Linked DNA regions of Drosophila melanogaster. The protein of the gene in region 1 purifies or fractionates together with the protein of each later gene. This does not show direct contact. Each region holds a gene or a part of one and is shown in the gene's direction. Other genes may lie near its edges. The genes, in order: achi, comr and aly.

Region 1 (11,233 bases):
TCCACACATCTCGATCCCATGGACTGTTTCACCAACGACTTGGTGACCAGAAAGACCCAAAAGTGGGAGGAGCTGCGCGATAGCCTGATAAAGAGGCCATCGTCCGGAAATCTGGAGGCGGACGCCAATTGCAATGTGGGAACGCAGCGAAAGGCTGGTAGTACCAGCTTTAGCCAGAACGTGGGTCTTATGTCCAAGGGCATGATGAGTGATCTGAAGGCGCTGCGCTCCCCCCAACTGGGACTGGATATCAGATCCCTGTCGCAGGCGCAGCTGGACAACCTGCTGATGGCCACGTTGGAGATCAAGAACAAGCTGGACTTTCTCTACCTGATACGTCAGTGCATCCGCTGCAACCTGTTGCCCTCCAACGAGGTCTTCGTGTCCTGTCTAAAGTATTTGAGCGCGCAGCGCAAGCTCCAGCAGTTGGAGGCACTGGCGGAGACCTGTCGGCAGCTGGAGCACCCGTTCTCACAGACCTACGCGGATCTGGCGCCCTTCCGCGCCATCGCCCTGTGGAACAATGGTAACGCCGACGTGGCCCTGATGACGCTACATCGCGGTTACGGGGTAAGCATGACTTCGGAGGAGGGCAGGCGGATGGCGCGCTCCGCATTCCGCACCATTTCCGAGGAGACTCTGGCCCAGAAGAGTGAGGCGGTGCTAGTGTCGCTGCTGGAGGTAGCGCGTGCCATTCACCGCGAGCACAAGGACATCTTTGTGGTGGCCTGTGTGTGGAAGCAATGCTTCGCTAGCGATTGGTTTTGCGATCAAAAATCGGCTTCGGAACTGTTTGAGCACTACAAGGAGCTGCAAGAGCTAGTGGAGAGGAGGTAAGTCGCTTTAATTTCTTTAAAAACCCGAAATTTGAATCCCAATGTAACCTTCCTTGCAGAGCCAGTTCTTTGTGCTCTTCATTTCTGGCCCGTAACAATGTTGATGCGGTGCATCGGCTAATCGAGGCGTTCTTGCAGCACCAGCAGCGTTTGGCCTGCTCCAGCTGCCTCAGCTTGCTCTTTAACTATCAATGTGAGTCTGTGCAACACAACCGAATATTATGTAACTCCCGTTTCGTTTTTAGATATGCGCAAGGATCTGCGAGCCTGCGCTGAGATTGTCAAATCCTGCAGTGAATTAGAGATGCCGCTAAATGAGCTGCAGAACGAACAGTTCCTCAGTCTGTTCCTCGACCAGAGCGATCCTGTGGACTCTTCGGGAATGGCCAGCAAGTACAAGGCACCCAAGTCCTTCCAGTACAAGTTCTAGTCCCCAGTTTCCATCGTTAAGCCGTTGTCATCGTAGTTACAGCACAAGTGTTTGCACCATTGAGCAATATTGCAAGCATCCCCATATTGCAAGCCCCCACAAGGAATGTAGTGTCTCTTCAATAAATGTTATTTAATATCCATCTTCAGGTGGCTCCTTCATCCACCATGTTGCCCTCGGGCAGTTGGCCAGGCAAAATGCCGACGCATTCGTAGCAGCGGGATATCAAGTGGTTGCCGCATCGATGTTGCAAGCACTGTTGGCACCGCGTCCGCGATTTAGTGCCACGCTTATTTCGAGCGCAGGGCTTGCACCTGCGATGCTTCTCTCCGTACCGACTAGCCAAATTAATGCCCAAGGGCAGGCTCATCTTGTCGGGTGTTAGCACGCCTACGCTGTGCGTTAGTTTCGCCTCGCCGGTCGCCTCACTGAGCAGCCGCTGACTGGATTGGCCCAGGATTTCGCAGATTTGCAGTCGCATCACGAGCGAAGTGCTGGTGGATCTTCGCTGAAGGCGTCGCTGTAATCTCTGCTGTGTGAGGAAGAGTCCCAACTGTCTCTGGAAGTCGCGCTGATCCATAGCGGCATCGCCTTTGGGCGAAAGTCGTAACAGGATCCATGCATTCACGGCAGCCGCGTTGAGCACAAAGTGAAGTAGTTGCAGAAAAGGATTGATCTGCTTTTTCAAGGGTGCGGGCGTAGCGTGGGCTGTGCTGAAGCGCTGGGAGTGTTCGTAAAACTGCTGACAGGCTTCTGAGGTTTGCTCATATGCCTGGACTGCATCTACTTGGGAGCTAAGACCGCAGCAGAAGACTGCGTCGCCATCGAGCGGAATGAGTTTTGAGCTGCCACCAAACAAGGGTGATTCTGTGGGCCACTGCCGCGGCCAATGTGGCGAATTGGCCTCCAGCTTACCCAACGAGCTTATTTGCCGCTGCGCCAACTGCTCGCACTGCGTCAAGTTTAGATACCGTGATCCCAGCGTTACATTTCTTCCCGTGGTCTTGAAATCGCAGATCAGTTGTTCTACATCCTTGTCCGGACATCTCTGGTTTCTGCTTACCACTGCATTGGCCATGTACAGTGTCCTGGCATCACAGCAGAGGGTCATCCGTGACTTGGCCACCGCGCAGAATGTCTCATCCACGGTCAACCAACTGCTGCAGCCGTAGTAGGATCTGCAATTGATTATAAGGCGCTGCCAGAGCTTTTGGCCCTCGGACCAGCCGCAATTTCCCGCCAGACACTCGGAAATGCTTTCGAATCGAGCGAGCGACATGGATGCTCGGAATATGGCATTGCCCAGCTCCAGGGTCCACAGCTCATCCAATGGCCCATTGTGCCTGGCATTTCGGAACACTCCACAAAGGTAGCTTAGACCCAAGAATGCCCGCAGCTCCACAACGTCTAGGGGTCTCTGGACACTTGTGGCCGTTCTCCGCTTACGCATCTGTTCATTGATATGGCGAAGTAAAGACCGCAGCATTTCATCATCGAAGAGCAGCATCCATGCTTCCACTGCATTGGACACTGTTCGGGCGGGTCCCTTGCCACAGGCCTGTTGCCCCAAAAGGGGTAGATCCTCTGCAGAAATATCTGGGCTCCTGGTCACGCTCCATAGCTGCCCACAAGGAGATGTGTAGTTTCCGTTATTATTTGGTGGACGACCACGTCCTCGCTTCGGGGCAGCTGGCCTGGCGGAATCCTCCTTCTTCAGCACCACGTCAGCCAGTTGGTCCTCGTTCATCAGCATGTCGCTGTCCTCGAAAATCCAGGGAAAATTGCATACTGCTTCCTGTAGCGGATCGGAGTCATCTCCGTTAAAGGAGGCACTTTGGACTGTGGAATCGACCGGCGGCAGCCGCTCCTCCACCTCCATCTTTTCACCATCCTCGTCTTCTTCCTCCTGGTCGCTACATTTAATATTGGCCAGCAGCTCCTCGTCCAGCACGCATTCCATTGTTTGTTTATAAACTTGCAACAAAACAAACCTTTTCAGTCGTCGATAGGTTAGGACAGTAACGTCTATACATATCGATAATTTATATAGTTATCGAAAAAGACATTTAAAACATAAATCTTAAGCTTGAAAGGTTGAAAACTTATAAAAAAAATAGTTTGTTCTATTTAGAAAAAATTATGTACATTCTAAATATAACTTATTTATTTTAAATGTAGATTTAATTTCCAGCGTAGAGATAACTAGTGTATGTTTATAATTCTTAAACAAATTATACTTAACAAAACTTGTATTTATTCTTGGCGCCACTGTTCAAATTTCAAATGAACCTGCCAACTGAACTAACTCCCCAGTGGACCCCCATCCATGATTTATCGCACATAAGCGGCTATCGGATTTCTTTCGCCACTAATTTGTTGTTTGGCACGCAGCAAGGAAAAGGAATAAAACGCTTTAAAACCAGTGCCAAAATAGCTTTCCCCAACGTTCGTTACTATATTTACGTTGTCTGCAAAAAGAGTTTGTCTAATTGGCCTCGATACTACGGTTGTGACGACTGCCCCGTCACTACAGTTTGCTGAGTGCAGTAACCGGGGCCTGGCTGAAACACTGGGAAAACCAGTGTTTAGTGTAAATAAATGATAGTGGCACCCATTCGGACATCGCAGGTGAATCCCCGGGAGCTCAAGACGCCCGTTATTTGGGCGCGCAGTGAATTTGTCAAAATATTTTGGTTAAAGTGTCAATTTGACATGTTATATGTCATGGTCTCTCGTGTGCCAGTGCGATAGTTATCGATAGATAGCCCCAACTTAATTTGTTTTAAATATTTTTAAATTTCTTCTTTACTTAATTCACTACTGTAATACGTTCGTTTAATGTATAGTTCCTTGGAAATTAATCGATTTAGCAAGTAGACCGATTGGAAAGAAATCAAAAATCGATTTGAAATGCGTATTTGAACCTTAGTTGGCCATGACTTTGGTGTCTGAATGACGCCTGCCCTCAGAAAAAGTTAGTTGAATCTCAAAGTCTGTGGTGACAACACCTAAAGAAACTAAAAAGTGACAGGTTTCTCTGTTTGTAAAAAAAAAAAAATTGTAATTAAAGTTCTGTTCTTTTCCTTTCAATATTTGCATACCGTTTCTGGTTGTGTTTTAATGAATTTTCTGTTTTCTGAAGCTTAAGTCTGAGCTGCAATGATCTCGCCGGAACAAGAAGAGGTCAACATGGTCCTGGATCGCCATGTACGGCAGAATATCCAGGACATGATGCACGAGGCTCATGTCCAGGCGAGCCTGCTGGAGAACGAAGGTGAGTTTGCTATATTTCGGTCGAGTTCGGTCTTGTTCATGCCCGTTTTTTTTGCATGTCATCTGCAGGACGCGGCCGTTTCCACTCGGACTCAAGTTTGGACCAGGATTCTCTTCACGCTGACGTCATCGTGGAGGAGGATCAGAGCACCGAACACGGCGCCAACCAGGTGCAAAACTACCACGACATGATGGTGGACAGTGAACACCACATCGACATAAATGGGTCGCTGCGCAAACGTCGTGGAAATCTTCCCAAGACCTCTGTAAAGATTTTAAAGCGTTGGCTTTATGAGCACCGCTATAACGCCTATCCGAGCGATGCGGAGAAGTTCACCCTGTCCCAGGAGGCCAATCTGACGGTGCTCCAAGTGTGCAACTGGTTCATCAATGCCCGTCGCCGCATTCTACCGGAGATGATCAGGCGCGAGGGCAACGATCCTCTGCACTTCACCATATCGCGACGTGGCAAAAAGGTTAGCCCCAACTGTTCGAGATCAAGTGCGTTGGGCGCAAACTTGACTGGGCCGAATCCCGCACACGGAAGTCCTGCTTCCGAAGTGGTGTGTTATCTTCTGGTCAATCATTATACCACTGAAGTTACTAAATTGCTTGACTCCAGGTCGTTGGCGCTACAGAGGAGGTGGATGGCGCCGGTGAGATTCACGAGGGCATCGCCAATGTGCTGACCAACTTTGAACAGTATGTGCAGGGCCCCAACGGACAAATGGTCAAGATGGAGCCGGAGTACGAGGACAGTGTCATCTACAGGTAACTGGTAACCGGTCTTTATGACCTGCTTCCCTAGCGTTAGTCACTTCTATCTCCTATCCCATCCCACCTATGTCCAAACTCCTTTTCCTCTTCCAAGCTGGCAGCAGGCCATTGCAAACAACCCGATGGGCTTTCAAAGTCTTCACTCCTCGCTTCAAGCAACCATGATCGATAAAATTAAAAACTATCAGATGCGCAAGGCTGCCGCCATTGGGGGTTCGGCGGTTGGCTCTGGTGGTGCTGGTGGGTCGAGCTCCAACTCCAGTCCTGCCACATCAATACTGCCATACAGCCTTTTTGGCCAGCTGCCGCCAGAGTTCGATGACGAAGAAAAGCCAAGACCTCCGAAGCGCGTAAGAACGCGGACGGTTGCTGCAAAGAGTCCTAGGGAGAATGCCAAGCAAGCAAAGCAGAAGACTGGGAATAAGCAAGAAACCATGTACTGCTATAAGGATTCATACGGCGGAATCGTGGTGTCTCCTAGGTACAGCTTCTGCTCCCATTGACTGATCCAGAGCCTTAAATCTTACTCAAGTGCGAGTGGCGGTGCTAAGATTTTACTTTTACCCCCAGGTCCGAAGGCGAAGAGAGTGCACAGGGATACGAGTCCTGTGGGCCGAACAGCGAGGAGGAAGTACGCTTCGAGACCTCCCATGATTGGCAGAGCGTTATAAAGTAAGTAGCTATGTGGATGTATTAAGAAAATATTGTAATCTCGGCCTCTGCAATTCCAGAACTGTATTTGGTACTGAGGAAGTCAGCACTTCGGCTGGCAATAATCCAGGTACCTCTGGTTCTAAGGGATCTGTTCAGAATACCGCCATCTGGAATCGCAATCAGACTGCGAAGCGTGACGGTGAGTGAAGTTTGCAGACTTAGAGCTCGGTTTCTTTGGTAATATCCAACTCTTTTACTCCTAAAGTGAATCAACAGTTGACTGACTTTGAAAGCGAGCTGAATAGAATACAGGCCTCAGAAATCCAGACAATCGATCCTACCAACTCCAATCAACAGGACATTGGTGACAATCTACAGGCGGACGAGGTGTTTACCGGTGCCGAAGCAGAAGCTGGCCAGAGTCAATTATCTGCTATGTCGCAGGGTAACCTATACCTATTTTTATCAACTTTATATTGAATTTTTAATTATTTTATAATCTTGCTTTAGGCACAAGTCCAGATGAGCGTGCCAAGTACAAGTGTCTCTATTATCTAGTGGAAACTGCCATGGCTGTGCGCCAAAACGATGACGTCCAGGATGACGATTTCGTTTACATGGGAGACTAGAGCCTCAAACCAAATACCCACGCTACAGATCCCGACTTCCCAAAGTGCCGAAGCGTGTATATACAAATATGTATATATAGATATATATATATACTTAAGTAATTTAATCGAACAGCACTAGACCCAAAAATTTGTCTATAACCCCCATGTTATTGTGTTAATTGAGTAGGTTACTAACATAACGTACAAAGCTATAGATCAATTCGCAATGCGACCGCCCAAATACCTTTTTCCACAAAGTCAATTCACAAACAAATCGACTTAGTTTTGGACCTGACTCTTTTAAACTTAACATGTACACTACTGATACTTAAATAAAACATAAACAAGCATTTGAAATACACATTGCCATAAAATGATGGTGTGTTTTATCTAATTGGCTGATAGAGCCATTTTTTTAAGGTATCTAGTAATTATGTACACATACATACATAAAATGAGAACGTTTGTGGAAGGACAAAATTAATTTTGTTATAAATATTATAAATGTATTGGAATACTTTGGTTACCACAGATAATAAAGAGTGGCGCAAAAACAAAATGATTCGATTTTTAACTATAAAGCTATAGAACAAAAAAAAAGAATGATATATTCGAGTTCCCCGGCTATCAGATACCCGGTACATATATGTGAAAATGTGAACAAGAAATTTCATAATTTTTCTGGGGTATTGATAGATAATTCGGAAAAAAGAAATATCCAAAAATTTTCAAAAATGAGGGCGTGAGTTTTGCGCTGTTTTAGGGCGTTACAGTGGGCGTGGCAAAAAGTTTTCATTTTTCAAAAGTGTGGGAGTGGCATTTTGTACGGTTTGAAAGCGTTGGAGTGGACGTGGCAAAATAGGTCCACAAACTTGTGATAGTTCCTGACTTCATACGAACGGACAGTCAGACGGACGGACGGACAGGTCGACTCGGGTATTGATCCTGATCAAGAATATATGTGTTTTATATGGTCGGAGAAGCTTCCCTCTGCTATTACATACTTTATAACGAATCTAGTATACCTTTTTACTCTACGAGTAACGGGTATAACAAGTGACGATCGCACCTCCAACATACAAATCTTCTGAAATCAAAATGATATTACATTTGACCAAATAAATGCGCTTGTCTAAATTTTACAAATCAAAATTTTTATAAATTTTGGATAAGGTAAAAAGTACATTTCGAGACGCCCGTTACTTGGGCGCGCAGTGAATTTGTCTAAATATTCATGGTCTCTCGTGTGCAAGCGCAATGTTTGTGCGATAGTTATCGATAGTTGGCCCTAACTTAATTAATTTTAAATATTTATAAAATTCTCCTGTACTTAATTACTTACTTTAATACGTTCGATACAAGCAGACCGATTGAAAAGAACCATTTTTAAAAATCAATTGAAAAAATTTGTTTTTGAACCCTAGTTGGCCATGACTTTGGTGTCTGAATGACTTGCCTGCCCTCGGGAAAAGTTAGTTGAATCTCAAAGTCTGTGGTGACAACACCTAAAGAAACTAAAAAGTGTCAATTTTCTCTGTTTGCAAAAATTGTAATTAAAGTTACTGTGCTTTTCCTTTCAATATTTGCACACCGATTCTGGTTGTGTTTTAATGAATTTTCTGTTTTCTGAAGCTTAAGTCTGAGCTGCAATGATCTCGCCGGAACAAGAGGAGGTCAACATGGTCCTGGATCGCCATGTACGGCAGAACATAAAGGACCTGATGCACGAGGCTCATGTCCATGCGAGCCTGCTGAACAACGAGGGTGAGTTTCCTATATCCCGGTTGAGATCAGTCTTGTTTATGGCCGTTTTTTTCTCCAGGACGTGACCGTTTCCACTCGGACTCCAGTTTGGACCAGGATTCCCTTCACGCCGTCGTTGGGAATGATCTGAGCACCGAACAAGGCGCCAACCAGGTGCAAAACTACCACGACATGATGGTGGACAGTGAACACCACGTCGACATTAATGGGTCGCTGCGCAAACGTCGCGGAAATCTGCCCAAGTCATCTGTAAAGATTTTAAAGCGTTGGCTTTATGAGCACCGCTATAACGCCTATCCGAGCGATGCGGAGAAGTTCACCCTGTCCCAGGAGGCCAATCTGACGGTGCTCCAAGTGTGCAACTGGTTCATCAATGCCCGTCGCCGCATTCTACCCGAGATGATCAGGCGCGAGGGCAACGATCCTCTGCACTTCACCATATCGCGACGTGGCAAAAAGGTTAGCCCCAACTGTTCGAGATCAAGTGCGTTGGGCGCAAACTTGACTGGGCCGAATCCCGCACACGGAAGTCCTGCTTCCGAAGTGGTGTGTTATCTTCTGGTCAATCATTATACCACTGAAGTTACTAAATTGCTTGACTCCAGGTCGTTGGCGCTACAGAGGAGGTGGATGGCGCCGGTGAGATTCACGAGGGCATCGCCAATGTGCTGACCAACTTTGAACAGTATGTGCAGGGCCCCAACGGACAAATGGTCAAGATGGAGCCGGAGTACGAGGACAGTGTCATCTACAGGTAACTGGTAACCGGTCTTTATGACCTGCTTCCCTAGCGTTAGTCACTTCTATCTCCTATCCCATCCCACCTACGTCCAAACTCCTTTTCCTCTTCCAAGCTGGCAGCAGGCCATTGCAAACAACCCGATGGGCTTTCAAAGTCTTCACTCCTCGCTTCAAGCAACCATGATCGATAAAATTAAAAACTATCAGATGCGCAAGGCTGCCGCCATTGGGGGTTCGGCGGTTGGCTCTGGTGGTGCTGGTGGGTCGAGCTCCAACTCCAGTCCTGCCACATCCATACTGCCATACAGCCTTTTTGGCCAGCTGCCGCCAGAGTTCGATGACGAAGAAAAGCCAAGACCTCCGAAGCGCGTAAGAACGCGGACGGTTGCTGCAAAGAGTCCTAGGGAGAATGCCAAGCAAGCAAAGCAGAAGACTGGGAATAAGCAAGAAACCATGTACTGCTATAAGGATTCATACGGCGGAATCGTGGTGTCTCCTAGGTACAGCTTCTGCTCCCATTGACTGATCCAGAGCCTTAAATCTTACTCAAGTGCGACTGGCGGTGCTAAGATTTTACTTTTACCCCCAGGTCCGAAGGCGAAGAGAGTGCACAGGGATACGAGTCCTGTGGGCCGAACAGCGAGGAGGAAGTACGCTTCGAGACCTCCCATGATTGGCAGAGCGTTATAAAGTAAGTAGCTATGTGGATGTATTAAGAAAATATTGTAATCTCGGCCTCTGCAATTCCAGAACTGTATTTGGGACTGAGGAAGTCAGCACTTCGGCTGGCAATAATCCAGGTACCTCTGGTTCTAAGGCATCTGTTCAGAATACCGCCATCTGGAATCGCAATCAGACTGCGAAGCGTGACGGTGAGTGAAGTTTGCAGACTTAGAGCTCGGTTTCTTTGGTAATATCCAACTCTTTTACTCCTAAAGTGAATCAACAGTTGACAGACTTTGAAAGCGAGCTGAATATAATACAGGCCTCAGAAATCCAGACAATCGATCCTACCAACTCCAATCAACAGGACATTGGTGACAATCTACAGGCGGACGAGGTGTTTACCGGTGCCGAAGCAGAAGCTGGCCAGAGTCAATTATCTGCTCTATCGCAGGGTAACCTATACCTGTTTTTATTCAACTTTTTAATTATTTTATAACATTTTTATAATTTTATTTTAAAATCTCGCTTAGGCACCAGTTCAGATGAGGAGGGCAAGTACAAGTGTCTCTATTATCTAGTGGAAACTGCCATGGCTGTGCGCCAAAACGATGACGTCCAGGATGACGATTTCGTTTACATGGGAGACTAGAGCCTCAAACCAAATACCCACGCAACAGATCCAGACTTCTCAAAGTGCCGAAGCGTGTATATACAAATATGTATATATATATATATATATATATATATATATATATATATATATATATTTAAGTAATTTAATCCAACAGCACTAGACCCATAAATTTGTCTCTAACCCATGTTATTGTGTTAATTAGGTAAGGTTAGTAACATAATGTACAAAGCAATCAATTCGCAATGCGACCGCCCAAATACCTTTTCCACCAAGTCAATTCAGAAACAAATCGACTTAGTTTTGGACCTGCCTCTTTTAAACTTAACATTGTGTACACTACTGATACTTAAATAAAACAAAAACAAGCATTTGAAATACACATTGCCATAAAATGTTGCTGTGTTTTATCTAATTATTAATATTTTGATAAATTTTGGATAAGTTTAAGAAAAAAGTTTTAAACCGCTTTTACAACGTAAATCATTAAATTGCCATTCTATAGATGTTTTCCCCAAACAATTGTTCTTTCCTAAATTGGTACAGTTAATGTTTCATTTATACAATTATGCTTTGAAAACATATTTCGAATTAAGTATCAAAGCATTTTCCTGAATGATGGTTAGTGGCCTTCGGAGGGTGTCTGATTCGTCACTACGTAAACTATTTATGGTGGTCTAGCGTGTTACAAGCTCTGCGAGTGGAGATACTCTTCAAAGAGTAGGAGCCGATTTTTCAATTGCATGTTTGGTATAATTTCTTGATATGCTTTCGTACATTGTTGCATTTTTATTTATTTATATCCATTAATACCAATTTGACGCACATTCTTATATTTACCTTCATTTGA
Region 2 (9,796 bases), 9.4 Mb from region 1:
GTATCTCGATGAGCGCCGATAACAGAGCATCTGCATCCGCGTGTACAGCCGCGTGAGAACCGCCTTCGTCGAAGAAAATTTTCAAACTAACCGCCTGCGTTTAGCGAACAAACGAACGAGCCACTTTCCTTACATTCGAATTTCCTTCGGCTGGAATTAACAGCGAAAACTTTAACCCTTAGCGGTTAACAGCGCGACTCATATGGGAAGTTACACGTGCGATGCCGGCCAACAGTGCGATTTGTACGGAGCCAATCGGTTAACATTCAACAATATAACAGCGGACCAACCGGTTTTGCTCTCTCGGTTTTATGGAGCATTTGCTTGGAAAGTCGCATGCGATAAGTGGCAGAGAGGATAGAATTTAAAAGGCCGTGTTGTTGTTGCTGCTGCACCACCAACAGCTGTTTTTTGTTTATTTCAATAAATTCTGTAGCATTGTCTGATAAGCACGTGGATTTTTTTCGATCCAAGTGAATTTATAAAGCGGCCACAGGTAGCGCATTTAACAGAGAATGTTAAGAGCCCTGATAACAGCATTTTAAGCAGAGAATCTTTTTTCCGCTTTTTCACAAACATAAATATTTCGGTAACTACCTGCTGCATAAAGTTTTTCAAAAGTAAGTAACACCACCTTTAAATCTATGCGGCGAGCCAACGGCACCCATTAATTAAGAAGCATCCAATTAGCTAAATAAATCCAGTTTGCAACGCCCTGATGACCAAATGAAATCGCTCGCAGAATCGCTGAAATCATCCACACAATCAATTAAAAATTTAAAAACTCGCAAATTAATAAGTGGGCGCCACACACACGCTTAGAATGTATTAGATACTCTGGGGGTTGGAATAAACATAAATATATATCTAAGGGGAAAAGTATCTACCAACTCCCCATATTTGCTAAATCAGCAAATGTGTCGCCCAAGAAGGGTGGGCAAAAAAAAAGTGCACGGGAATTCTGCTTGATGTAGAATGAAACGCATTAATTTGCCTCGTTATGATTATTGCCACGCCATGCCACGCCCCCCACACGACGCCCCCTTGTTCGCAGCTGAAGGAGATGAAGCTACAGAGAAAAAAAAATGCTTATTTGCTTTTACAACAATACTTATGTTAAGGAAAAATCAATTGAAAGTAGCTGAAGTATGGCAAATTTTATATCATGTTTTTTACATTCACTAAGTTAAGTTAATAAGTTAAAATTAGTAGTACATAAAATTTGTTTTAAATATATTATATAATCTCCCAAACTTAATGTACAATATTAAATGAATATATCATAGGAACACCAGCTAAGATCTTTAGGTGTACACTTCAAGTAGACCATATGGAAATGCCCTGAGTAATATGTTTGTCTGACTCTGCACAGACCAAACTGTGACCCTCAGTCAGCGTCCCTGCCCCTCCGTGAGCCCCTGGCCATCCCCCCCCCTTTTTGGGTGGAACAAGGGAATGGGGCGGGGGAACCACTGCCAAAGGCGCACGTTAAGCGAATCGTGCACACGCCCCATGACGATGATTAATTACCTTTTTGGCTGCTCGGTTCGGTGTTGTCTCGAATGTATCTTTGTATCTTGTATCTTGTGCACATTTCACTTATGCACGCCTCACGCTCCGAAGACGAAGACTTTTGGAGGGTGGTGAGGGGGGTAGTCCTCTCGAGGGCGAGGAACCTCGCTTTTGGGGGTTCGTTTTTCGCTGATGAAGTTGTATTATTTATCACAAAATGATTTTTCGCACTTTCTGCATGTCTTCGGTTGTCTTTCTTGCGTCTTCTTTATTTCAGAAAGGTGTGGAATAGAAATAGACATAAGACTTAAAACATGGGTTGTTGCATTAAGTAAAACTTACAATTAGTTTTACCTTAGAAAATTTTAATAAAATGCAAACTATATGGAACCAATAATATTCATTCAACAACTTTTGTTCCATAATATTTCATTCCCCCAGAGAACCTTTAAAAATTTACGGACCATGCTAACCACAAATAAATTCTAAACGCAATGGCCTTTGTGTATATGCACTTTAGATCTACTTAAAGAAGCATATCTTCATGGTTATAAATATACGACTCCGCGTGGCAACTCGACTAGGCCAGCTCATAACTCTAGATTGCATTATCTTAGGATCTCCAAATGTAGAAGACACATGTGTTGCTCCCTTTACTTTCGGCACTCCCGTGACTCCCTTCGAAAATAAAGTGAGGACATATCAAGTTGCCCTTTGCGAGGACTGCAAATCGATTGAGGAACCCTGAAGGAGTAGGAGTTGCTGGGGATGGGGTTTTGAGTATTTCACAGAAATTCGAAACCGCGCAAAGTCAATGAACCAAAACAAACGAAAACAAAAGGGGCCACCACCGCGATGGAAATGAAAACAAATACAATAGGAAAAAGGCAACAAAAACATACAAAATGCACAACAATTTGACATCTGTTTCAACAATTTCGTTTAGCGAAAAAGGAGTAAAAAAGTAAGGACGAAAAGGATGTCACGTAGATTGACTTGTACAGCAGACAAAAGGAGCCCGAAACTTCAATTCAAACTTGGAACCCACTCGAAAACTCCTTCATCTCGTCAAAAAAGCAAAACGAAATTCCCCCGCGTTCGTGTGACAAATGTCAAGGGTTAATGAGATCCCCTTTTTTACAGTACTCTTCAGAAATGGAGTTGTGTTAATTATCATCAACGAACAGGAGTTTAAACGCTTCATTAGACAAAACAGTGCAACCAGAAGACAAAGAACAAAAAGGGAATGGAATAAGTATCTACAGATACGAGGGGTGAAAGCGATACCAAAAGGGGAAATGAGTTTAAACATATTTAGTGAAAAATTTGTGGACATCGAAAATATCAAATTACCAAAACCGGGAATTGCCTTCCAGTCTTAACGGGAATGGATTTTTTAGAGCAAAAGCAAAAGCGGGAGAAATGGGCATTCAATTAGTCACAGTCTACATGGGTGCGAGATTGTAGATAAGGTCGTCAGATACATTGTGAAAATACATTTGCATTCGAACTGGTTGTGTTCTAGGAAATTATATACAATTTAAATTTATTAATATAATAAATATATACAATTTTTAAGAGTATAAGATTTTATGAGCATTGCCTGCACATTTCAAAATCCCATATTCCAAGAAATCCCTTGCTTAATGAACTAAATTGTAAACTCTTTCAATATGTTTAATTGTGGCATTTCTCAAGAAAACGATACGATCATTAATATGCATTGTGTTTTGAAAAATGATTTTTCTGCATGCTATATGGCAAAGTGATATTTTAGCCGCTAATTGTCAAAGTCCACCAAACTTTGGCCCTTAATATGCAGTTCGTAAAATTATGAAATATATTCATTTATTTTAATTAGCTTAACCTCAAGGCGAAGAAAGCGAAGAGCAGAGAGAAATAAGTTCAATGAGACCCCAAGGTTTGCCTTCTGGCAAGTGAAATGATTGATGGATTGGAGCTCCATTGTCTTCACATGAGTCACTAAACCACGAGAATCTTATAGAGCGTATCACTTGCTGCAGTGACTCACTCTAGAATAAGGAAATATAATCGAAACTGGAATCGGGATCGTAAAAATGCAATTCAGATAGCGAAAGGGCGGAAAACAGCTGGAAAAATTCGGGGCTAGAAGGTCGTGCTCAGTCGTCTTCATCTTTAATTGCTTGGAAAACAATAGTCTAAAAGGAAAACCGATGGAGTAGCGCCCCATAAACCATAAAAATGCATAATCTACGACCACTTGACACGCATTAAACAAAAACAAAACAACACTACGGCGGCGGCATTCCTACTTTTATGTTTTATAACGTTTTCAACATTTTATAAAATATTTTTTAGACGAACGAGATGGGAGATCTCCATATATAGTTGAACAATAGTTGTCCCCAGATAAGGAGTAAATAAAGACCTCTAGCTCTCTACCCGTAAAATTAAACTGAAACCGAAACTTATGTAGTGCTTTTTATGAATTCATATAGGGCTTCCGTCACACGACTAAATCAGATCGTAAAAAATGTACAACAAAAGAAACTTTTTCGTTCCGCCAAAAGAAAGAGCAACAAAAAATAGGAAGCAATGAAAAAATTGAAAGGGGTTTCATTGTCAAAATCACGTGCGTGCTGGTATACTATTTTTTTCCAACTGGACTTGTAAATTTATTCGTCATATACAGCCGTTGTTCTTGTTATGCAGCTTTTCATGGGCTGCCCTATGATTTTCGCTCGGAAATTACAACTTTGTCATCAAATTCGGACTGTAAACATTACAACTAGTGTAATAAAAGAACAATAAAATTGGCGGAAATATTCGCCAAAGAAATTGAGCAATGAAATGCATAATTATATTCACTAGACGAACTATTCACATCAGTAATTTACCAATAACTAAAGAAGCTATAAAGAGCAGGGTATTATAATATTCAATAGATTCAAGCAGCTGACGACATTTTTTTAATTTACTCCTGGTGACACGTGAGATTATTGCATAAAATTCTTGTCAGTCCGATTTTTTTCGCCTGTGCCAAAAACTCAGCAGTTTGTTCATCCAAATATCGTGCATCAGTCAGAATAATTGGGGGGGTGTTCGCCATGGATGATTCGTGATTAAAGGATGTGTATTAAATATTCATATGAATGTCAATTTAAAGCTATCTCTTTCGGCACAGTGTCACCCTCTCTTTCTCATTGACTGGTTATAGACCAGTTGAGTGCCAGTGTTGGCGGCTTTTTGTTGTCTCGGCTTTGGTCTGCATTATTGTTGATATAGCCCATGAATCCCCAATTGAAAGGCTTCCCTTACTTTCCTTTTTGAACTTTGCCGCCCTTGGAAACAAATGGGAGGGTTAAAACTGGGGGTTTTGGGGTTATAAATAACAATAGATTTATTGCAAACAAAACATGAAGTGCATTCAAATAAAATGAAAGGAGCTTTGTTTGGTTTTCGCCTGTCTACTCTTTCACTAAAGCTAAATTGTGTAACTTTAATTTATCAATAAGAATTTTTGGCAGCAGAATAATAATAGTGGAATGCAAGGCTTATTTAACATGTAAAAAAAAGAAGTTTTGAACATTAAGTGTGACTGCTTAAAGTACACCGATGAGAGTGTGTTTTCTTAAAAATCATCGATAGAAACTGTAAAGGATAACAGAAAAACTTAGCAACACTTTTTCCGAATGGAAAACAACAGCAGGGCAACCCTTAAAGTGGGCCAACATTTCGTTTGTCAGTCCTCATATTTTTCCGGCTTGCTCGTTTGCCCGAATATTTGTTTGAGAACTAAAAAGTCATCGAAGTTTGTAAATACAAAAGGATAATGTCGGGGAACCAAGACACTTTGGGCCAGTCACAGCAGGTCAATGAAAGTGGTGATGAATATGAAGAAGACGCAGCAACAAGTTGGACAAATGAGTTGGAACAGCAGGAGTCCAGGACGCCAGCGGATAGCCCCGAGTTTCTGGATTTTGTGGACTCCGAGGATCCGCTGGAAGATTTCGAAAGAAATCCTTTGCAGAAGGAGCCCCTCGATCTGGCAGTTAAACCTGTTTCCGACATCAATAAGAAGGCAGCGGAGAATCACAGGCGGATTTACCGACAATTGGGTATCCATATCCCGGAAACGCCAAAAAGCCATCCTCTACTCCATTATGCATTCGTCGTGAAACTGTTCCTGGCCACCGATAATAGCTCCATTCACTACCTCAAGTGGTCGGCAAATGGCCGCGAACTGGAGGTCGATTACCAGGGTATGCAGGAGCATTTGTCCAGCGGGTGTTCCATGTTTCATTGTCGAAATACATTGCAATTTACGGGCACTCTATTGGCCCACGGATTCGAACGCGTTTCATTGAAGGATGTGCGTAAATCCTCAGCCACCAACATCACGCTGATCTATCGGAATCCAAATTTCGTTAAGGGTCAGTTACTCAAATTGCATAAACTGGCTCAGGAATGTGAGAAAATACCTGAAATTTCAAGCCCGGGAACGGCGGAGCCGCGACGACCACCTCTGCACCTCCCGAACTATGCCCATATTTCCAGGATGGTACGGCGAGGAGATCTCTGCTCCACTCCCTACACATCCCGTTCTGCTCTGCAAGTGGCTCGATGTCATTTCCAAACTCTGCTAGGATATCAAGCCGATCTGGGTGTCCTTAAGGATCGCAACAATCACGATATGTTCAACAAGAACATTATGACGCAACTGAATGTGAAGAGGGGGCGTTCGTCTATCAATAACGCCCCCGTAGACTTAGCGCCCAGTAAAGTTTCCTTTGAGAAATTCGTAAAGCCGCACGAATCTGTGATTAATATCGGAATTGGCCAAGCTCCCGATTATGCCGGTTATTATGGCCAGGTCGAGCTATTCAAAGTCAACGAGTTCTTCTCCGAATATCTGCCGCGCTATGGTAGCAAAATCACCGGCTACAAGGAAATAGTTATGGATGCCACCAATAAGTCCATTGGTTTCCAGCAGAATCTGCCAATCGGCATGAATTACTCGGATGATGAAGACGATGCCCTGCCACCGATTTCATCGGACCTCGACTTGGACTTCATGCCATCCACCTCAGCGGCGGCGAAGATGAAATCTACAGGTCGCAAGGTAGTGGAGGACTCGGACTTGGAGCAGGCTATGCAGGAATTGTGCGGCGGTTCTAATCTTAACGAAGAGGAGGAACTTCCACAGACCAGCACCAGGTTTAAAGCAAAGCCCAAACCAAGAGCCAAAACCAAAGCCAAACCCACGAAACGCCAAGCTAAACCCGTACATTCCAGTTCCAGCGAATGCGAAGATTTCAAGCCAGACGAAGTGTATGAAGGTTTTAAGTCTAGAAACCCAAAGAACGTTAAGTTAAAGCCTAGTGACGAAAATATCTCCTATACTCTTGAAGAAGGAACTGATTTCGAGGAGCAAGTCATAGAAGAAACGACCGAAACCAAGGTGCAGGATTCGCAATACGATGACCTGGATGATGACGACGACGACGAGGAAGAGGATTACTTCGACGAGGATGACGAGGATTATGTTTACAAAAATTTGCAGTACAGGAACCCTCCTGAACCGCCAAAAAGCCGACGCTATGATCTACGCAACTCCAAGCGAAATCCTCGTTGAGTCTGCCACTCATTGGAATTGTATGGTATATCTAAGGCAACTAGGAGTTATTATTTGTTAAATCAAATACTTGACTGTGTGGATTTGTGCACCAAACAATTAAACGTTATTTAGTAACTTTAAAGAGGATTTTATTTAAAACTTACGGTACGCATCTTCGGACCATTCACCTCTGCCATATCTTTTGTTTATTCAACTTTAGGCCCATTCCTTTAACCATCTTCCATTGGGCATATCTAAACCTTTCATTATAGCTTTTGTTGGTCTTCTTCGAAGGCAATAAGTTTGGACATATGGGCAATTAAATCGCTTATCGCTCTTTGATCTCTCACGCCCTCAGTGCCCCATTACCGAGGCCAATCAAAAGTGTAATATCATCTGGAAATATCTTACCAATTCGAACCGAGGGCCAGCACCCACACGAACTCACAAAAACCGAAAACGTATAACCAGAAAATAAAGGAAAAAACCAGACAGGGGCACAATCAGTCGGATGTTTACAAGTTTTATGAGCCACCAAATAACAAGATGAACAACAGGCAACCGAAAACGAAACCAAAACCAAAACCAGAACCAAAGCGAAACTTAAACGATACTTGATTTCGAAGGGATTTCGGATTTGTGGTGTACCTCGCACCGCATTTGCAAGAGGCGCAAAAAATAAGCGCTTTTTTTTTATATATATAACTCAGCGTGAGCCGAGACACGATTTTTATCGTCTTTAATTTGCTTTTTATTTGATATCATATTTCAAGACAGCCGGACGGATCAAATCGGTTTGGTCCCACTCGCAGAACTCTGGAGCGTTGAAAACAAAAGCCGGTATCCTCTTATTTGCCGGCTCCGCTCCTCCGAAAAATCCCAAAACAGATTTTTCGGTTGGCAAAAGAGGAGAAACCTTGAGTCAAGACGTCATAATGTCATAAAAATGTCACATACTTTTAATAACTTTATGACAGCTACAAAATCATAAACAAAATGCTCTGACAGCAGCACACGAACTGCGAGAAGGCGAGGGATTCTGCGGTTGAGTTCTTTTGGGAGTCCTCATAATGAGATGTGTCATGTTTTGCCTTCTGAGAAATGTTTCTGCTTCTCCATTTCGGTGGCTTTTGCCATGATTGCCCATCGAGGAGCCGAGTGGACCAGGCTGCCATACTCCCATCCCTTCCCCCAAGAGTCACAATTATAAACATGACAGGCTGATTATTAAATTTGATGTTTAAATGATGATCTAAACAGCAGGGATATTCGATAGTAGGGGGTGTGTGTAGCGTGTGCCTAGGAAAATACATCCATAAAGTTGGTTCGTGGCAAATAAATTATCACTGAACTATGCATGTAGCTTGAACTTGTAAACTTAACATTGAAAATATTGTATTTTGGGCTACAGGGTAGGGATTTGAATATATAGATGCTTTAGAATCGTTTTTAATCCAAATATTTCGTTGATTCTTTTCTTCTCACGCACCAATTTAATGCAATCCACACACACCTTTTCGGTCCAAAGGCCACAATCTCAGCTTTAGTTTCAACACATAAATTCGGTTTGCGACAAAGCGCGCCAGTATTAAATTATGGAAACAGGAATAAAGTCGGGACTTTTGCTGCATTATAATGAAGTCAGATAGGTGGGGGTGGGGCAAAGAAGTTTGGGGGGGGTAAGTCGAAATGCCCTCCGAATGCAGAGTTATTAAATGCCAAGTTATTTGTCGTTTAGCTGGAAATCCACGCAGGTCGGCAGTACTTTAACTTCTGAGGCTCACAAACTTTTTTTTTTGAGACTGCTTTATGGGCTTGAGTAGGAAATCTTTACGAGTTTCTGCTGGGGAGACAAATTTATTGGCAAGGCATTAATGTTTTCTTTACTGTTCGTATTTCTCTCTTCCCTCTCGTATTTTTCCCGTTTTTTGTCTGACTTTAATACGGAGTCGTAAAGATTTTTAATGATTCAAAGCGGCGGTAAAACTATTTACATATGTATCTCTATGCTTTATGGGGGCAAATACGAATGTATCTCCTCTATAAGGTTTGGCAATTTGTCTTGTGGTGGGAAAATGCCAAAGGAAACGAGGTGTTGACTGTGGGCCATATAGTTACGGATCTAATAAAGTGGAATCATAAAAACAATGGCATTTAAGAGTTATTATATCCTAAAAAACTTTCCACTAATATCATCACTGATTGGCCATTACTCTTAATCAAAAGCGTTTTAGGATTTACTAATTTTAAAAGTTTCTTCAATTGGAATTCAAATTCAGAACTTTTCTTTTTGGTAGTGCAAACTTACTAACCTTAACTCTCAATTACCAACAAATCGAAACTCAATTTACCAGTTCCCCTGAGTAAATAATTTGTTGTACATTTGTTAAAAACTTTGCGCTTATCTGTATGCCTTTTTCAAATCCAACTTTGTAAATAAGCTATATACGGACTGTAGAACTAGCCACCAAATGCAGTGAAACTTGCTCCTGTGAGTTTGGCGTGTCCTTGGGCTTTCTTCCCATTTTTGCTAGCAGGTAGGGAGTTATTTTATGATTGCACAAATGCAAAATGCATAACAATCAAAATTGCACAAAATATTCGCCAGCAAATCGGGATTTATATGTATGAGATATGGCCTCGTTCCATCTGCTTGGCAAACTTTTCACCAAAAAGGTAAAAGGA
Region 3 (10,276 bases), on another chromosome or scaffold:
TTCTCTGTTTTAGCCACATAAGCACTCTGTTTAATTGGCTCTGCAGCTAAGTAAAGGACGTCCAGAAATAAAACGGGTATCCCCAGGATTGGCCAATATTCTGTCCGTCACGTTTTCGCGTCTATGTGACCACATTCCGCAATCGAAATCGCAGGAGCAGCAGCATTTTTGGCCAACTGGCTCAGCAGTCGTGCAGTGCGATGCGAAAGAAATGTTTATAATTCAACGGAAATGCTCGGCGAGAAAGCCTCACAAAAAACCACCCACAATGGCTGCCTTTTACATCCACTACTCTTCGTATATATTGTATATATATGCTATATATGACGATTGTTGCGCTTTCTTGTCGGATGGAAAAACATGGCAAATGCCTTATTGCCGTTGTGCACAAATCCCCACCGGACTTGAGTGGAATTGACTTTAAGATTTCAAGCTGCTGGCTGTAGCTGAATGCCAGGAATAGAACCCACTTATCACTTGAGAACCAGGAACCCGGCGATATGAGAGCCCCTTGGGTATGCAAATGGGAAGTGGGATCCATTTTGGTGGACGTCTTAGTCTTTCTTAACTTCCGTGACATAAATCCGGTAGCCCCTGCTCAACTACAAATGCGGCCACAGAAATAGGTTTATGGATAAGTTTAAGAGTTCTAGAAATATGATATAAATTGAAATCTTTTTTGGAGTTTCAAGTAAGACTTAAAATTATAAATGATATCATAAAAGCTATAATAATAATAATAATTATCTATTTTTAGTAGTATGCTGTATTGTGAATAGCTTACCGCATTTGCTAGTCCAAAAATAAAGTCGGCTGGGGAACATGATGCCACCATCCGTCATCTGGATATCCCGGTGACAGGCGAAAATCGGGTGGAATCACTAAGCTGATTTACTCCAAGTCGAGCGGAGAACACTGAAAGTTCGCGGCGAAAGGCGGGAACTGAAATGGAAAAAGAAACAACGGCGGTGTCAATGACTGGGTCCTGAGATCCAGAATCTTGAGTCCTGAGTTCTGGGCACTGAGCCCAGAACCATCAGCACCTTCCCTTTCTCCTTTCTGACTAATGAAAGTGGACAGGGGCGGCAGAAGAAGCGCTTAAGTCAATTTGAGTTTGACTCGGGGAGCGAAAGCAGCCAGGACATCGCAGGATGTCTCAGAATCACCGAGGACATCGAAGAGCGGCAAAGTTCAGCTGGCCAGGCGCGTGTTTCCGCTTAAAAGTTTTCTGTTTTTCCAGTTGCTGTCGTCAGCAATCGAGGCGCCCCAAATCCTCGACAGATTGTTGTTACTGCCATCGCTGTGGTGTTGGCTAATTGCGATTTAATGACGATGACAATTTGATAAGAGGATTTGCTGCATTGTCCATCCGCCGCGTTGTCTCTGTGGCATCTACCGAATGGATCGGCCAATTGAATCAGCCATTTCGATGGTACACTGCGAAAAAGACCACAGCAGTGTCAATATTTATCATCGTTCTTTCCAAACTATGGGCATACTCTGAAACTGCACATCAGTAATTTGTCTTAATGTTTTTCTAGAGTTCTAATTAACTTGGCTTATTGAAACGCATAGAAATTGTTTCCTGTGCATCACGGAGACAATGCAATCACATGAGCATTTTACGGGCCGGCGAACCAAAAGAAATCTGCGATAAAAAGCCAATGTCAGCCGCAGCAGGAGGAGCAGGAGTCCAAGTCAAAGGCGCCTTGCCGCAGACAATGGCTGTAAAATAACTGGAAAAATTGAACATGAATTGAAATAAAAGCGATAGTAATTGAAATTGAAAACCCGAAGAAATTCGGTGCACGAAATCATTGTCATTTGTGGGGAAAATTGTACGAGATATTGAAATGTGTCATCCAAAAAGTGGAGCTTTAAGCATAATTTAAGTTTTTAAACGAATAATATTCAATCTGTTTACTCAGGGCAGTTAGTATTTGTTTAAAGGAAACCTTCTTCTTAGACACGTTAAAGCTATAAACATTTGGAATTTCCCTATCCTATTGCCATAATCAAAAACAAGGTAATATTTCAATAGTATTAATTTTTTATTTACAAAATTTTTCTGCTTTTCATTGCGGGTTGTTCAACATTTCCCACAGGTTCAAATGTTGTTTCACTTTGATGTGGGTAGCAGTCGCATATATTTATAATTATTATTGGCATTTCCAAGGGTCGAATTCGACCCTTTTTTGTGGCCTTATGATAGCGGTCGAAAGCACGCTCCTTGTCAAATGATTTTTCATAAAGAAAAATAACCGAATAAAAACCGAAAATTGATTCAACTGTCGCTTTCGCGCTTTCAATTAATGCGACAAATGTGTGAGTATATGGCATAAATATAAAGAAGCTTTGTTCCTTTTTGCAAGTCTGCTTTTTGTTTTTGTTGGCCAATACGTGACTTTACCCAGAAAGTCATTGACTTTCACAGACTCCCCCGAGTGGCTTTGTTATGTCCGCTCTAAAATCGTGCTTTAAAGACCGAACTCTCGAATCAATTAATGCGCTCCATGGCCATGAAAGTGGCGAGTGGCGATAAGCCAGCTCCAACCCATGTGGCCCCCCAACTGGGAGCTGGCGATACAAACTGCTTCAATTTTAATGTCCTCAAACTGTCATAAACTGTAAATGCACAGTAAAAGCCATGAGTATAAGGCGGGCAAGCTGCGACAGATTCTGTCGTGTAGATGGCCAAGAAGCTAAAGCTGTCAGCTCAAGAGTTTAAGTTCGACAAGCTGGTGAAACTATTGTATCTTACACTGAAGTCCGATTTTCACTTAAATATTATATGTACTTCGTTTATTTAAACCTAATATAAAAGTGGGAAATTAATTGCCCCACTAAGTGTTAATCCTTTTCATACTAACGCTGTATACCTTTTGACACCTTCATGGTTGACTTCTGATTCACATACGCCCATTTAAAACACCCCTCACTCTTTGAACTCGATTTTTTAGGTTCACTGAGCAAACCTTTTTTTTTAACACGCTTGCGTGTGCCGTTCAACATTTAGCCAGTTTTTTGGGCCAGTGCAAAGACGACCCGCAGGCTGAAAGCCAACATTCGCTATACAGGGTACAATATAGCCGCATGAGAATACCCATTCATATGTATATGTATGTATGTATGAATGAAGTCGTGCACATGAGTAACCCGTTGGCACGACCTATCATCGCCCATTCCGCTGGCTAAGGCCTCCTGGCTGGGCGATGGGCGGTGGGTGGTAGGTGGGCGTGGCACGTGTCGCCTGCAGCTTTCATTAGTTCAATGTCAATGTTTTGTTTTGTGATCCTGGAACACAAAAACTGAAGAACATGGGAACCATCCAGCTGTCTGCCTTGGGTTTTTAATTTTAAGCGCATGTTGCTGGCCTCCAGCCAGCCACCTGCATCACCTTTGCCTGTCTGCTGATTAAGTGAGTACAAGCTGCAGGTGTCCTGCATTAGGACATCCCGCTGCTCCTTCGAGGCGAAAGGAATGCAAATTAAAACTGGTATCTCTTCCTTCTGTCACCGATTCTGCGGAAGCTCTGTGTGCACAGCAAATTGAATGAGGTGCACAGACGGCAATCGATATCTCGATGGAGGAAGTAATCTTTAAGTTCCTTTAAGTCTGAATATCTGGATATCCAATTTCCTTTTTCCCAGAAAACGACCGCAACACATGTCGAAAGTTTGCGGGCACAAACCATTGGCATACACTGAGGTGTATTTATAATTTAATTTAATTTAATTTAGAATTCCGTTTTATATAATTAAATATGGAATTTGGATGTTAAAACAAGTGTGTGTTTCAGCGTTTCTAACTAAATACTCTCGGAATTTCATTAGCAATTCTCTTGTCTTTGTACCCTTTTTTTTTGCAGTGCACAGGCGTACTTACCACATCACAGACATGGAAATTAGGCCAAAAGTGCGCAGGCAATAATGCTGAAATCCATTTACGTAATTCGAAATCCGCTGGCGGCGTTTTAGCCACGACAACAGTCGTATGCAAACTTTATTAATTACGCGCCCCGATGACCATTACCACCATATCGACCATCTACTATTGACCATGAAGCCATTCTTGCAGTCCGGCGAAACTTTGGCTGTTTACTATTTTGCTAGGCTGAGTTTCGGCCACCCATTGTTGTGTTGCGCAATTGGCACCAGCTATGAAAATCACGCAAAAGTTTTTCAAATTAAAAATTCAACAGATTTCACTCGGAAAATCAACAACCCTGGAAAGCGGCATATAACAAAAAACAAAATCAATGAATTAAAAAAAAAAAATTACATAATTCGATTGAGCCTGCTGTTCATAAAAAATATTGATACTGTTTATTAAAATCCATGTAAGACTTTAGTTGTTTTAATTTAATTTATCAGAACTGTTACTTTAATAATGACTTTAGTTAGTACCTTAGAAAATATGGCAACCCTTGACAGAATTGAAATATGTTGGCAACCCAAGTTTGGAGGCCATATGTCAAATGGCGTGAGACTTTTAACAAAAAAAACATTTGGTTCAGAAAAACTTCGCTTAAATTACTAAAGAAAAACTTAGTAGACCATTTCAGCATGTCAGTTGATCCACTATCAATCGATAATTTCACAATCCAATCTGAGATCTGCGAAGAAAACGAGTTTCTGGCAAATATAGGATTACTATCTACGACAACGTAATATTTTCTCCTTTTCTATCAAATATTAAAATAGAACTATAACTGTGCTACCATCCGTAGAATGTCGCGTCATCAATTGAAGAAACCCAGAAAGATGGTGGCGGCATGGCAAAACGATGAATTATTTATTAAACGCCCAAATTTCGCCCCGCGTATTAGGATTTCCGAAAAGCCAGAGATCCAGGGAAGAATTAAACCAGGCGTGGCGTCCAAAAGGACTGAGAACTTTACAAAGAAGCCGTCCAATATATCTGTAGATGTTTCGGAGGACGAGAAAGCGAAGGAAAAGGAAAAGGAGCAGGATCCCTACTCCAATGACTTTATACTTGGCAAGAGGTTCGTAATGGGAAAGATTCCCTAGAGATCCCTTTAAGTGCTTAATTGTTCATTCTCCTTTAGATTGTACAATTTCCTGAAGTATCTCAGCTCTCACCGTTGGATTTGGTGTGAGTTCGTCGACTCCTTCCTGGACAAGCCGACCCTGACCATGGGCTACGATATGAAGCGCTTCATAGCGGAGTACTGTCCGCTCCTGCACTCTTGCTTCATGCCCCGCAGAGGATGGCAATTGGTACGTCGGAATATGGGGAAGGCGCGTCGATTTTCGGCCGCCTTCATCGAGCTGGAACGCGAAGAATTGGAGTGCCAGCGCCGCATTGTGCGCCAGTTGCAGCAGCATAAGTTCAATCCCAAGGAGAACGTGGGCTACTTGGACCAGATACCCAAGCGTGTGCCCCTGCCACTGGCCAAGGATGCCACGGTCAGCAGTTTTCTGCACGGAAACTCCTTTGAGGGCATCGTCAATGGCACTGTCATGGGCTACGATCCGCAGGACTACACCTATCTGGTTCGATTCAATAGAAACGACAATGCAGTCGTGCTCAGTCTTCCGGATTCACAGCTCTATTCCGACGAGGAAACCGCGGCGGTTCCCTTGTCAATTATTATGCGCGGCAACAAATCGTCCTCGGTTATTTCGGAGAGCGCCAAGACCGAGAAGTTCGGAAACAAGAGGTACACCAAGGAACTTCTGGAATCAGTGCTAAGGGTTGGTAAACTACAGGATGTCAAGCACAAGATCCTCATGGACTTGGCCCGAATGAATGAGGATTTCGAGACATTCAAGGAGATTGGTTCTTCAAGTAGTCGTCGCGATGCCAAGGTCACACCTCAGCGTGAGAATCTCCAGCGTCGCTATTCGGCCAGCATGATAACGCTGCACCGAGTGAACGCTGATATCCTTGAACCGCTGCGCATCCTGCACGACTACCTGGTCGAGTATCAGAAGCAGGACGAGGAGGAGGAGTCCAAAAGAGGTCGTCCCGCCAGCGAAGTCTATCAGAAGTGTCGCATGCAGGCGGAACAGGACCTCAAGACTGCCGCGGATGAGAAATTCCTGAAGATAGAATCGGATCGCACGCAGGAGTTCGTCCGCAACCTTCACACCATACTGTATCTCAATGGAAAGCTGGGGCGCGAGAACAGCTCCAATTTGGAGACGATTATCGCTGATCTGGTTACCCACATGGTGGACAACATCCAGCCATCGCTGGGCCGGAAATTAAAAGATGGCGTCGATTCCCTGGAGCCTCTGCGTCAGCAGGTGGTGCAAATATTTAAAGACGTCAAAAAACCAGAGCGCTTCCAAATCACCCAGCAGGCTCCGATGCAAACCGAGGATGGTATCTACAACTTTGTGGTCGAGGCACAGCCGGATACTCCCAGCTAAACACACTACCTACTGGCCCTTTGGAATACTGAAATAAAGCCTCGCTCTTATTTATGGCTCAATTAGGAGGAGTGTCATGTGCATTGGGAGTTTGCCGGCAGAGGAGCTTAACGAAGTTTCTTGTGGCTGCTACCTTGTAGAGCTCTTTTGGTACTTACGCGAAGGGGTAGTTGGGGGGGGGGGGTACGTGGTTCTAGGATTTATTTCAAGTTTCCAGTGGCACGTTCCACAGGAAGTCAGCCGTAAAACAGTTGACAGATTGGCAACCAAATAAGTAATGCGTATGTGAACGAAAACTTTAAGGGGGCACTCAAAAAAGGATAATCACTGGGGAATGTTTGCTTTTTCTAAAGGGCCTGTAAATGTGTTACAACTTTGATGATAGAAAGTGTAGTTTATTAAATACTTAAAAATGATTAAGAAAAACTCTTACTATAACTCTCTAAGTACTAATAAACCCTGCAAAAAGGAGGTATGGAAATTTTCTCTTTTTTTGAGGCTAAATTTTGTGCAGCAATGTTGCATCCCCACATAAATCAGCATTTACGAGTAAAGTGTTTTCTATTTTTTAATTACTAGATGGATGCACTACGCTCGTAAATTGTGCGGGTGAGCCAGTTCCGCCGGGGAATTTGCCAACGCCCATGTGGCCGCCATAAAGACATCATTAATATGCCTCCGGATGCACTGCGTCGCTCTGTCCCCCGGGAGGAGAAACGATCGGCAAAGGAGCTGATGGCGTGTGTCCTGCGGGAATGGACTCTGGCCATTTTGCTCCCCCGGATGTGTCGTCGTCATCGACTAAGATGTGCGTATCCTCCACGGAATCCACCCGAGCGGGCGGCTCGTAAATATTTATAATACGTTGAAGCTGCAGGGGCGGCGAATCCGGCTATAAATTTATCGAGTGCAACATTTTTTCCACTATATGTTACAACTGTGGTAAAGACTCTGGTTGAGGATGCATTCAAAATTAAATGTTTTATTCGTATTCCTGATTAGAATGACCAGTCAAGTCAATGTGATAGTAATTTTTTTTCGCAGTGCCTTGCAGTACTTGTGCTCACAAGAATATGGCTGTAATGAAATATATATTTAGGCATTAACTTGATTAATGTATTTATTTTGAACGTTTCAATAGCCTCGCAAACTTGAAGAACACTTGAAGAACAAAAAAATCGACAGACGTGGTAGTTTGACATCAAGGATCCCCCAGCCAGGATAAACAAACGTAACAAATGGCAGCAAATAAATGTGGGCAGGCCAAGTTTATACGGTCAAGTATCCGCGTGGACCAACTCGTGTTGTGAAAGTTGTGAATGTTGGTTGGCTACTCGTGCTAAATGTAATTCAATACACCGCCTTACATAATGCATTCGAGATGACTAAAGTTTTTTTTATTCCGTTGACACTTGATCATTAATTATATTTGCGCGTGGCGGGGCATCGTTTATATGAAATTGAATCAATACATAACAGCTTAAGTGGCAACACATATATAATCGCATATCCACATGCCAGCAAAGCAATCGCCTAAGACTGGCAACCTAATTGATTAACGACTCTGCAAGGCTGCGGATGTGCGGATGTGGGCGCGGATGTGGGTTGGATTAATCCAAATACCAAGGAAACTTTCGCCACAAGCCGCTCAATTTGCTTTATTAAATTGTCATCTATGGCTGGCCTTTGGCTTTGCTTAAGTCATACCAGGCCGAAAATTTGGGTCAGCAATTGCGAGATGATTAGAAAGCCCTTGGGCGGAGTGTAAGTGGGCGTGGCACTCTTGGCATGACTCTTTTTTTTGTTGTTTGTTGCCAAGCGCTTATCATTTATCGCAATGAGTTTCTGACGATATTTTTCGGAAACTCGACAGGGGTACACGTTAACTAATAGATTCAGCTTTATTTTAGGACTAGAATAGTAACAATCAACTGAAATGTTTTATTATTATTACATATGTACATATATGGAATGATCTATATAATTTAATATTTATCATGTCAAAAACACAATAATAAAACTGTTACTTTTTATAGCTGCTCATATTATGCAAAGAGCTTTTGAATCTCATCCCAAATGCTGAACATACATATCCAAATGCATATTTAATGTTTAACTTAAAGGAAACCATTTCTGTAGCATACTTCTTTGGGCGCACTGATTTTAATCAGCTTAATGGCATGGTTGCGTAATTGGTTAATTTGATATTGATGGTTGGCAATTGCTGTCGGTTACATAATAAATATAAAATTAATATTCCTTTCTCTTGGGAGATGTAGGCGCATGTGTAAGTTTCGGTTAAGGGCCGTAAATCAGAGCGCGGCAATGTAAAACTCCACTCGAAATGGAAATTGAAGACTCAATTAAAATAAGGCGCCACAATTTATAGCACAAATGAATAACATTTTATTTACTGAAGTAAATAAATCAAGTTAAATTTTAAAACTATATATGAATACTATAGTTTTCCTTCCAACTAGGTTGTATATATTTCACAGTGTACTTGTGAGTGTTTTACTCAGATGTGTGTGTGTGTGTTCCGAATGATTTATGAAATGGACAGCAGTTTGTGGCGGCAGTCGGTGGACTGAGGTCAGCGGGATACAAAATGCAAATGTGCAGCAAAAACGAAATGAAAGCGAAAATAAACACAACAGCTAAAGTAACAGTAAACAGTGGAAAAACTAAGGGAAAAACGATGGCAAAAACAAAAGCACAGCCTGCGGCTTGTATTCCGTAAAAGCGGAAATAATGGCTTAAGTTTGCTTACGCTTCTGCTTACGTTATAAATTACAATGATTGACGTCGCGTGTGGCGGGCTCCACAGCTTTAATTATGCCTGAATTATTACGATACTATTTATTTTGAGCGTTGAATCGATATGGGAAAATAAATTTATCGCTATCATCGCTTTGCTTTAAGCTCTCACGGATCGGTTCTTCGTCAAATTCCGCCCAAAAAAATCACACGTTTAAAGTAATAGCTTTTTTTTTTTTACAGCCGATAACCTAACTAAAAATCCCATCACTTTCACTTCAACTTTCGAGAAAAATTTTGTTTTTGCAAATTTTCTCATTTTTGATAAGGGATACATTATTTCAAAAAATTTTCTAAATATATAATCTCCAGCTTGGGATGCCATTTGATTGAACATCCAAATACGAACAATATTTGGATAATTTTTTGCATTTCTATGGACAAAACTTGACCTGAGCCTTGCCACCCACATGCGATGTACGGCAATCACATATTGACAGAACCAGGCATTCACAGATGTACAAAAACCGAGAGCAATTAGAAGGCATCATGGCAAGCCCACAGCCTCGAGTGGTTCCTTTCTTTTTTGTGGAAAGCCAATGGGTTGTGACACATATTGCTGGGCGTAATTGGAAACCAGCAGGTCAGAATGAAGCTTCAAGTTCCAGAACTTAAAGTTTCCGAAAGTGCTTCGAAAATACTGTGAAAAACACAGTAAAGCAGCAGCTATTTGATTATTATTTGTATTTAATAAAAACACTTTCATCCCATTAGTAGATGTCATGTTTACTCTCCTGTGCTATCTTATTTAATGCCATCGACTTTTGCTGACCTCGATTAATTTAAGAAGTGGACACCTATCAAGTCCTGAAATTTCAACAGCTTTCCACACAGATTCACAATCTCTCACAGCTTATTTATTCATCTGGCAAATGTCTTTCGGCCTTGGGCTCATTGCTATCAGCAGTGCATAAAAATATATGTTCGTACATTTTCATGTTTGCCAGCTCTCAAATCTTGGATCTCACAAATGAATTTTCGGGGCCACTTTTGTCACAAATTATAATGTGTTGTAATTTGGTTTAATGCACGCGCAATGAGACCCAAACATTGGGCGCCCA

The links.
Region 2: the proteins of achi (region 1) and comr purify together in Drosophila melanogaster (affinity purification with western blotting, with the first as the bait; one study listed by BioGRID). This does not show direct contact.
Region 3: the proteins of achi (region 1) and aly purify together in Drosophila melanogaster (affinity purification with western blotting, with the first as the bait; one study listed by BioGRID). This does not show direct contact.

The regions. Positions count from the first base shown.
Region 1 is NT_033778.4:12,507,437-12,518,669, reverse strand, and holds achi (achintya), read left to right. Parts: upstream 1-3,607; 5' UTR 3,608-3,894; intron 3,895-4,271; exon of another isoform or gene 4,272-4,326; intron 4,327-4,408; 5' UTR 4,409-4,425; coding exon 4,426-4,540; intron 4,541-4,608; coding exon 4,609-5,102; intron 5,103-5,161; coding exon 5,162-5,310; intron 5,311-5,410; coding exon 5,411-5,797; intron 5,798-5,886; coding exon 5,887-5,988; intron 5,989-6,047; coding exon 6,048-6,169; intron 6,170-6,235; coding exon 6,236-6,415; intron 6,416-6,480; coding exon 6,481-6,599; 3' UTR 6,600-7,136; downstream 7,137-11,233. Other genes in the region: CG8818 (uncharacterized protein), read left to right, coding at 1-833, 896-1,029, 1,082-1,266; CG13151 (uncharacterized protein), read right to left, coding at 1,412-3,226; vis (vismay), read left to right, coding at 8,231-8,345, 8,404-8,804, 8,951-9,099, 9,200-9,586, 9,676-9,777, 9,837-9,958, 10,025-10,204, 10,283-10,401.
Region 2 is NT_033778.4:21,862,324-21,872,119, reverse strand, and holds comr (cookie monster), read left to right. Parts: upstream 1-5,260; 5' UTR 5,261-5,326; coding exon 5,327-7,129; 3' UTR 7,130-7,250; downstream 7,251-9,796.
Region 3 is NT_037436.4:3,020,714-3,030,989, reverse strand, and holds aly (always early), read left to right. Parts: upstream 1-4,468; 5' UTR 4,469-4,565; coding exon 4,566-4,666; intron 4,667-4,729; coding exon 4,730-5,005; intron 5,006-5,068; coding exon 5,069-6,398; 3' UTR 6,399-6,861; downstream 6,862-10,276.